Linked DNA regions of Canis lupus familiaris. The protein of the gene in region 1 purifies or fractionates together with the protein of each later gene. This does not show direct contact. Links are inferred from orthologs where the notes say so. Each region holds a gene or a part of one and is shown on either strand. Other genes may lie near its edges. The genes, in order: gamma-tubulin complex component 2 and MZT1.

Region 1 (3,803 bases):
TCGTGCCTGAGCTGGGAGTCTCCCCTTCACCCACCACGACACGTGCCACCCGCTGCCCCACGAGCCGGGTGGGAGGCAGGCACGTACCCAGGGAGGCCAGGATGTCTACGGTGCGCATGGCGGGCTGGATGTAGAACCAGAGCTTCTGAAGGGACAGGAGACCCTGCCTCTGCAGCTGCTCCAGCTGCGTGACCAGGATGAGGTACTCCTTCACCAGGGTTCTCATGGCGGCCGCCAAGGCATGGTTCACCTGTCCGTATTCGAAGGAAGACTTTTCTTCGATGAACCTGGGAGAAACGGAGCACCGGGGTCCTGTGAGCACGGGAATCTACATTTTCAAATCAGAAATCAGATGTTCCTTTTGGTTTCTTTAAAGATTCTATTTATTTATCTGGGGGAGGAGAGAGCATGAGCTGGGGAGGGGGCGGGGCAGAGGGAGAGGCAGACACCCCGCTGAGCAGGGAGCGCGACCCGGGGCTCGATCTCAGGAGCCCGAGATCACGACCTGAGTGGAAATCAAGGGCTGGACAGTCGGCGCTCCGAGGTCAGATGTTCGGAGTCCCCTCCCCACTCAAGGTCTTCTCCCTGAAGGGAACCCGTAGACACCAGCCCCTGCACTGGTCCCAGGCCCTTCAAAACCATGTCGGGTGTGAAAGCAGGTCACAAGACACGGATGCTCTCCGGATGAGGACTCGAACGAGCTTACAGACACAAAGTGCAAGCTGCGGGGGTCAAGAGCACTGGGAAGGCCGGTGTCCAGCCGCAGGTCCCGTCGGGCACCCACCTGGTCACCGTGGAGTAACTGGCAGCCACCGGGAGGATCCTGTTCACCAGCTCCCTGATGGACAGGTCGAGGTTGGGATCCACGAGGAAGGTGCGGCTCTGCCTCCCGGTGAGGGGCTGGGCGGTGATGTACCTGCCGTCCACACCCACCAGCACGTAGAGCAGGTCCTCCACCACGGCCGACTCCTGGGAGGCCAGGGGCAGCGTGCCTGTGGGCCGCAGACATCAGCCGGGCCGTGGCCCCACCTGCAGGGCCCCCCACTCCCGCTGACCTAATCTACCCAGTCACGTCCCCGCTGGTTTCTCTCTGTTAGTCCCTCAAATAGTCACGGGTGCGAGCATCGGGCTGCTCCCTGGGATCTGAGTCCTCCCAGTGAGGTCCCCAAGGCTGGGATTCCAGAAGCACCACGAGCACAGGGCAGGCGGAGCCGGGGCTGCGCCACAGCCTAACGCACCAGGGACGTGAAACCCCCTAGACACAAACGAAGGCTTGGCTGTTAAAGGATGAAGTAGGGAACTGAAGGAGAGCTGCTGACACACGCTGTCCTTACGGCACCGGTTACGACTTCGGGTCTGGGCCGCTGAGGGACATGAAGACTTTCCTTAAAGTCTTCCAGCACGCCTGCACCGCAGGAGGCGCTTTCCTACAACCACCCAATCAAGGACAGTCACACGCCACCAACCAGGACCACCGCCAAATGCCTCCTGGCCCAGGCAGCTCCCTGTCCCTCTTGTTGCACGGCCCCAGGACAACGCTCGCCCTCCTCCCCAACGCCTGCTGGGACAGACCACCACACAGCCCCGCTTTGCGCAGCTGGCCCCACGGCACCCGAGAACCGGGGCTGGCAGCCCAGGATGGTGCTGCCCCGCACGTGCACGTGCCAGTTCACAGAAGCACTGCTGGCGTCACACACCTGCACACCGGCCTGCCGAGGTCACAGGCCCTGAGCACACCAGCCACCTGTCCGTGTGGCCGGATCACGTGGCATTCAGAGCCACACTGACTTCAAGCTCCATTTTCTCTCTGCAAGTGCGAAGGCCATCAGGACTGTCCTACTCACAGCTCCCACGGGGGCCCCAAGGATCGGCCTCCGGCTTCTCAAGCACAGGCGTGCCTTCCAGGACCCGCCGCCAACCCTCGCCACCACTCACTCGAAAGCCGAGCACCACCCCAGTCAGAGCCCCCAGAGCACTCGGTGGGGGGGTGGGGGGGGCAAGAGGTGCAGCACGGGGTCGGCTGCTCCTGGGTGGGAACCTTGGCTTCAGGGGCAGATGCCCCGCTGCCCCCCAGGGCCCCGCCCACCCACGGAAAAGGACGACACTGCAAGCTATGCCAGCAAGAGGCCGGCCGAGAGGAACCGCTGCGGTGGCACAGGCAGCCTGGAGCCTGAGCTCTGAAGGGACAGGGACAGCCAGGAGGAGGGGATACAGTACGGGACGTGTGGCCAGGAGGCCAATCCACCAGCGTCTCTGCGGCTCACCAGGGTCTGGGGAGTCCAGAGAGGCTACGCGGGGCACAGGCCTGAGGCTCAGGGCCGCTAGCTCTGGGATGATGGGCAGCCACAGGGCGGCAAGGCAGGATGTGAGGCTCCACAGCTCCGGCCGCCTGCACCAACGGAAAGAAAGCTAAACACCCAATCCTCAGCCACGCCAGTGGCATCTCAATGCCCGCTGCCAACATTCAGCTGCCGGCCCCATACGAGGTAGGGCAGATCCAGAACATTCTCTAACAGAGAGGTGGGAAGTGGTGAGCCGCAAGGCAGTGAGAGCAGGACAGTGTCTGGACAGGAGGGGCAGATGGAGGTGGGGGACCTGGGACCGGGCTGGTGCAGCGGGAAGGAAGCAAACGCAGGCGCCCACCCCAGCTCCAGGACCCGATGAACTGTGACAGGAGTCACCACACAAAAGGTGGAGACACTAGAGGGAAGGTCGGGAGCCCCACCAAAGACAACAGGCAGATGGCCACATGAGACCCAATTCAGGGAGGTGTCCCGAGGGCAGAGATCCAGGAATGGGGGGGGGGTATGATTCCTTAAAATAAACAAGACCTCCCTGAAGAGGGAAACTGGCAAGGAAGACCCGGGAGCCAGCCCCGAGAGTCCCTGTAGAAAAGAATGTGGGGGAGGGGAGGAGAGACAGGACTATCCAGGCGCAGCAAGGACATAAGAGCCGGCACCACCGAGACCCAGCACTCAGGGAGGACAGGGCCCGCGCTGCTCAAAGGCGCCCGGGTGGTAGAAACGAACACACCACATACCTATGGGCACAGCCGAGTCCGTGCTTACGCCCGAGCCAGTCAGGAAATCCCCAACCAGTGTGGGTCTCTCGTATACCCAGGGCGGGAAGACGGGGAGGCGCTGGCCTGAATTTTTTTTGTTCTGCTTATCTCGAAGCAACTTTCTTGTAAGTTCCAGAGACTGGTGAGGATGTTTTAAAAAATAAAGAGAAACGTACTGTTAGTACAAATACTTAGAGCTGACGTCTGTGACACTAGAAAAGTCAATCCCTGAATCACTCAGCAGGAGGGTTCAATAGACACGTGAAGAAATGAAGTGAGGGTCTCCATGCCCATCATGGCACAAGGCGCTGAGGACCAGACAGGGACCTGTCATCAGGGGCTCAGTCTGTGCGGAACCCACAGGCCAACCAGGAGCACCAGCAAAGGACTGCACCCTTCTGGGGAGCACCTACAGACTCAACTGCTTTCCCCTGGTGGCATGAAATCTAGACGTCACCTGAGCAGTGAAGATGAGGCCCCTGTGACAGCCAGCTAGAGAAGGGGGCCCCTACCTGGGTCCCCCAGGGCAGGGGAAGGCCAGCTCTGCACGTGCCCAGAGCAGAGGCCCTCCTGTGGGACCAGCCACCAAAAGCTGACCGGGGCAGTCATAGGGGCCAGACTTTTAGAAGCACCAGGGTCAAGGGTGGCCAGCAAGAGGGCAGGTGCCAACTATCTTGTCATCTGTCACAAGGGACAGCAGTGAGAGGACACATAAGGTGCCGATGTGTCAGAGCCACTGAAC
Region 2 (4,325 bases), on another chromosome or scaffold:
CCAGGACTTTCAAAAGGATTCAGAACTGGGACCCTTCCTGGAGTTTCCGGTGTTATCTGCATTCCTGATTCTTTGACATCTCCCATAGCACAGAGAGAAAACTAAAAAAAAAAAAAAAAAAAAAAAAGGCATTATGAACAATAAAACTGGCACATTCCACATTCATTTTGACAACTAAAATGTATTCAACAAACATTTTGCATAAAGAACTCAAAATCTAATGCTCTTGGGTTGTTTATAGTTTACAAAAGGCATCACATACATTTTCTAAAGTGATCCTCGAAATAACCTTGAGGACTAGAGAGGTACGGGATATGATTAGGGATATCATTTTGCAGAAGATTTAAACTCAGAGAAGCTAAGAAGCACAAAAGTAGCAGTCAACCGCATATGAATGAGTTCAGGTCCGCTTTCGAAGCAACGAAGAGGCACAAGAGGCACAAAACTCTTTCCAACTAAAAGGCTATAGTTCCAACTAAAACCTATAGTTTCTTTATTCCTTATTTCAAGTCTCCAAACACTTAACATACTTCGGATATCCCAGCAATTGCCTATCAAACGACAGCTGCTAAGCCACAATTATTTGCAGCAGGCAGATATATACGAGACAAGGAAGCTTAAGCACGAGTGTCTTTCTTCCACTTTAGCCCCAAAGCACGGCTGATTAGGGCTAGGAGACTAACCGCCCTTTGGTTGCCTCTCCTCAAACATCCTCCTTGCGCTAAGACGTCCAGGGTAGAAGGCAAGATTGCATTACTTTCAGTCAAAGGGGGGTCGGCACGACTAGGGAGAAAGGATCCACTTCTGGAAGGCCGAAGCAGCTGGCTTCCTCGGGGGTGAAGAGCAGAGGTGGACACTCCAGCCAGTGTCACTCCCAGTCCTAAGCGATCACAGCTTGGCGCCCCCCCAGCCGCCCCCCCCCACACCCTCTTCCGCACCTATTCCCTCGCTGCTCCCATTCCCCCCGGGGGACAGCGGGCAGGTGGGTCGGCAAGGGAGGAAAAGGGAGCTCTCCAACTCAAGACAGGAGGAAAGGCCAGGGGCTACAAAGAACGTACCTAGTGGTGCGTATAAAAAAGGAAGCCACCCCAGTAGGCGACTCCAGGGCGCTCCCGGGGGGCCAGGCCAGCTCCCACGACAGGCATAGACTCTTTAACTCCCCGCTTCCGCGCTGTCTTAGGCCAACCAGCGCCCAGGCCCCGTGGGGGGACTGGCCAATCGCGTCGCGCCGCCGTCCGCGAACCAACCAATCGCATCGAGGCCGCGTAGCAAATTCGAACGGCAACTCCCCGCTTCGCATTCCGCGCAGAGTAACGAGGCTCCAAATTTAAATCAACGCAGCCTCACGCCGGCGACGAGCGCGAGGGGCGGAGCCTGCCCGGCGTGAGCGGGGGACGCGTGGTGTGATTGCCCGGGAGAGAGGCCGGCGCTCCAGTTCCGGGTCAGGCCCTTCTCCCGCCTCCCTCGGCCTCCGCCATGGCGAGCAGCAGCGGCCCCGGGGCGGCGGCGGCAGCGGCGGCGAACCTCAACGCGGTGAGGGAGACCATGGACGGTGAGTGCCCGTTTCTCCCCCTCGCCCCCCCCTTACCTTGTCTCCGTTTCCCCCAGCCAGGGCCCCCAGGCGGCGGGAAGCCAAGAAGGACTTGAGGTCCACTTCCGGCCCCGGTCGGCATCTTCGAGGATCCTCCCAGGGGATCCGCCGAGGCCGTGGCGCCGAGGGTGCCATCCTTCGAGAGCGCTCTCTGGGCTCCGGCGTGCTGTGTCGCGCGCACGGCGTTCCAGCCGCCACGTCAGCCGGGCGCGCGCGCCCCGCGCCTCACGCACGCCACGCGCCTCCCGCGCCTCACGCGCGCCGCCCGCTCCGCACCCGCTCCCCGCGCGCCTCACGCTGCGGCGGGCTCCTGGCGGCCTTTCCCGCGGAGCCGGCTTCGGGCGCCGCCCCCCCCCCCCCACCCGCGGCGGGGCGCCGTTTCCTCAGAGGCCCGAGCCGGAGGGAGCAGCCCTCGAGACTGCAAGCCCCGTGTGGAGAGCGGCCTTGTGCGTTTGGTCACCGCGATGTCCTTTGTCCCTGACGCTTGTTCACTGTGCGGCGAGCGGGCGAGGCGCCCCGCCCTCAGGAGCGCTCCGAGGCGTCGAGGAGCAGGTGCCGCCGGCGGCTGGGGCTGTGCGCCGCTTTACCTGTTTCCGCGGCACGTGGGTGGAACGCCCGCGCGCACGTGCTGGAAGACGACGGGCCCTGGAGTCAGGTTCTCTACCCTCGAATGAATGCCGGTTCTGACACTGTGCTCCCCTTCCGGGGGGGGGGGGGGGGGGGGGCAAGCTATGTAGACGTTTTGAGCCCATTTCTTTCTTTTCTATAAAGTGAGTTCACCTCCTCCTAAAAGGTATTTGTGAATATTTAAGACCACAAAGCAAAGGCGTATCAGAGGCGATAAAGCAAAAAATAGTTACCATGACCTTTGGGTTGTATTACATGTACATCCCACTACTTGCGGACTCCTCCTTTGTCTCCATTTTATTGCATCCTCTCATGGGTTTGATGGATGTTGAATGTTGCCCCCCCCCTTTTTTTTTTTTTTGCATTTTTCCGGGGGGTTACTAACATGAGTCTTCATCTCTATTGAAACATAACTCTGGGGGATACCTGGGTGGCTCAGCGATTTGGCGCCTGCCTTTGGCCCAGGGCGCGATCCTGGAGTCCCGGGATCAAACCCCACATCGGGCTCCCTGCATGGAGCCTGCTTCTCCCTCTGCCTGTGTCTCTGCCTCTCTCTCTCTCTCTCAAATAAACAAATAAATAAATAAATCTTTAAAAAAAAGAAAAAGGAAAGAAAGAAAGAAACTTTGCAGTTCTCAGTTGTGCCAGCCTTCCTGCTGAATCTCCCTGCCGGCTTCACTTACTGATACAGTCACTCCTTAAAGGGCTTTCAGTAAGATTTCTGGCTTTTTCTGCACAGGTTGCTGCTTTCCTTTGCATTCTTTTTTTTTTTAGGTTTTTAAAATTTATTTATACATGAAAGAGAGAGAGAGAGGCAGAGACACAGGCTGAGGGAGAAGCAGGCTCCAAGGAGGGAGCCCGACGCAGGACTCCATCCCGGGTCTCCAGGATCACGCCCCGGGCCGAAGGTGGCGCTAAACCGCTGAGCCACTGGGGTTGCTCTGCTTTCCTTTTCAAAGAACTATGTACATTAGAACATTTGCATCTAACTTTTTACTTACCAAGTATCTATTTTGCTGTTTCTCTGAAAAGAAAACAGACTTTATTCTTTAAAGGTTTTATTTATTTTAGAGGTGGAGGCAGAGAGAGAGAGGAACAAGGCTCTACTCCATCCCATGACCCTGAGATCAACCTTGAGCTGAAATCAGGAGTTGGATGCTCAACCCACTGAACTACCAGGCACCCCAGAATTTTATTAACATCGTATTCAGCCTATTTCCCATTCTTTCTCAGTGTACCACATTATAGGTTTCCCCAGCTATCTGGAAGCAGACTGGTCCCATGAAACGTTTCCTAAGCTGAAATTATGTAAAGTGAAGAGCCAATACGAATTGGAAATTTTTTTGAGCATTCTCAGACCCCAAAAAATAACCTTTCTTAGGGTTTTTTGATGCCCTAGGATACATCTTGTTAACAGATGCACAAAATAAATAGAGATAAAGCACAGATGCCCCCAGACACTAGTTTAAGGGTCTGGGAGCTTAATGGCAAGAGATTGAGTTTAGTTCCTGGGGAAGGAGCTTGGCAGTAACAAACACTAAATGCTGGGGTTATGTGCTGGCTCTAATGGCTTATCGTAAACAAACACTCAACACTATTTTCACTTTTTGCCTATTTTCATAAAAGCAAAAATTTATTGGATTTCTTTTGGTTAGCAAAAATAGCTACTAATGTATGGCTTCCATAAAAGCAAAGTGAAATAAGACAAACTTTCAAAAAGTGAGCGATGGTTATATTGTCTTACATCTTTGCTTGGAAGCCGGTGGGTCTTTTAAAGAATAGAGTATGAGGCCCCACTTCTGTCAATTTTCTTATGATGGCTATACCTAGGTTCCTCATTTATACGGCCGCAAAATCCTGTTTGAATGGAGAACTCCCAGTTTATCACTGGTGGAACTATTGATGTACAAATGAGAACTGACTATTGGTTGTGTCATCAATATTTTTACTGGGAGGAGTGTGTGTAAAATGAAGATTATTGAGAGTGAAAGAACAGGAAAAAGTGAAGAAATACAGATTTTTTAAAAAATAAAAATTGAGAGGCTCTATGACTTAGAGAACACTGCTCCTTCATATACAGTTAGTCCACAAACCTCAAGATAAAAAG

Evidence for each region.
Region 2: the proteins of gamma-tubulin complex component 2 (region 1) and MZT1 purify together in Homo sapiens (affinity purification with mass spectrometry; 4 studies listed by BioGRID and IntAct, counting the BioPlex papers as one, with this or other methods). This does not show direct contact. The link is inferred for Canis lupus familiaris from reciprocal best matches to the Homo sapiens genes TUBGCP2 and MZT1.

Annotation. Positions count from the first base shown.
Region 1 is NC_049249.1:41,386,396-41,390,198, forward strand, and holds part of gamma-tubulin complex component 2, read right to left. Parts: intron 3,201-3,803; coding exon 3,041-3,200; intron 993-3,040; coding exon 785-992; intron 288-784; coding exon 88-287; intron 1-87. UniProt on the Homo sapiens protein: Component of the gamma-tubulin ring complex (gTuRC) which mediates microtubule nucleation.
Region 2 is NC_049243.1:26,981,545-26,985,869, reverse strand, and holds the start of MZT1 (mitotic-spindle organizing protein 1), read left to right. Parts: upstream 1-1,359; 5' UTR 1,360-1,476; coding exon 1,477-1,552; intron 1,553-1,588; coding exon of another isoform or gene 1,589-1,726; exon of another isoform or gene 1,727-1,752; intron 1,753-4,325. Other genes in the region: BORA (protein aurora borealis), read right to left, coding at 1-101, 1,589-1,726. UniProt on the Homo sapiens protein: Required for the recruitment and the assembly of the gamma-tubulin ring complex (gTuRC) at the centrosome.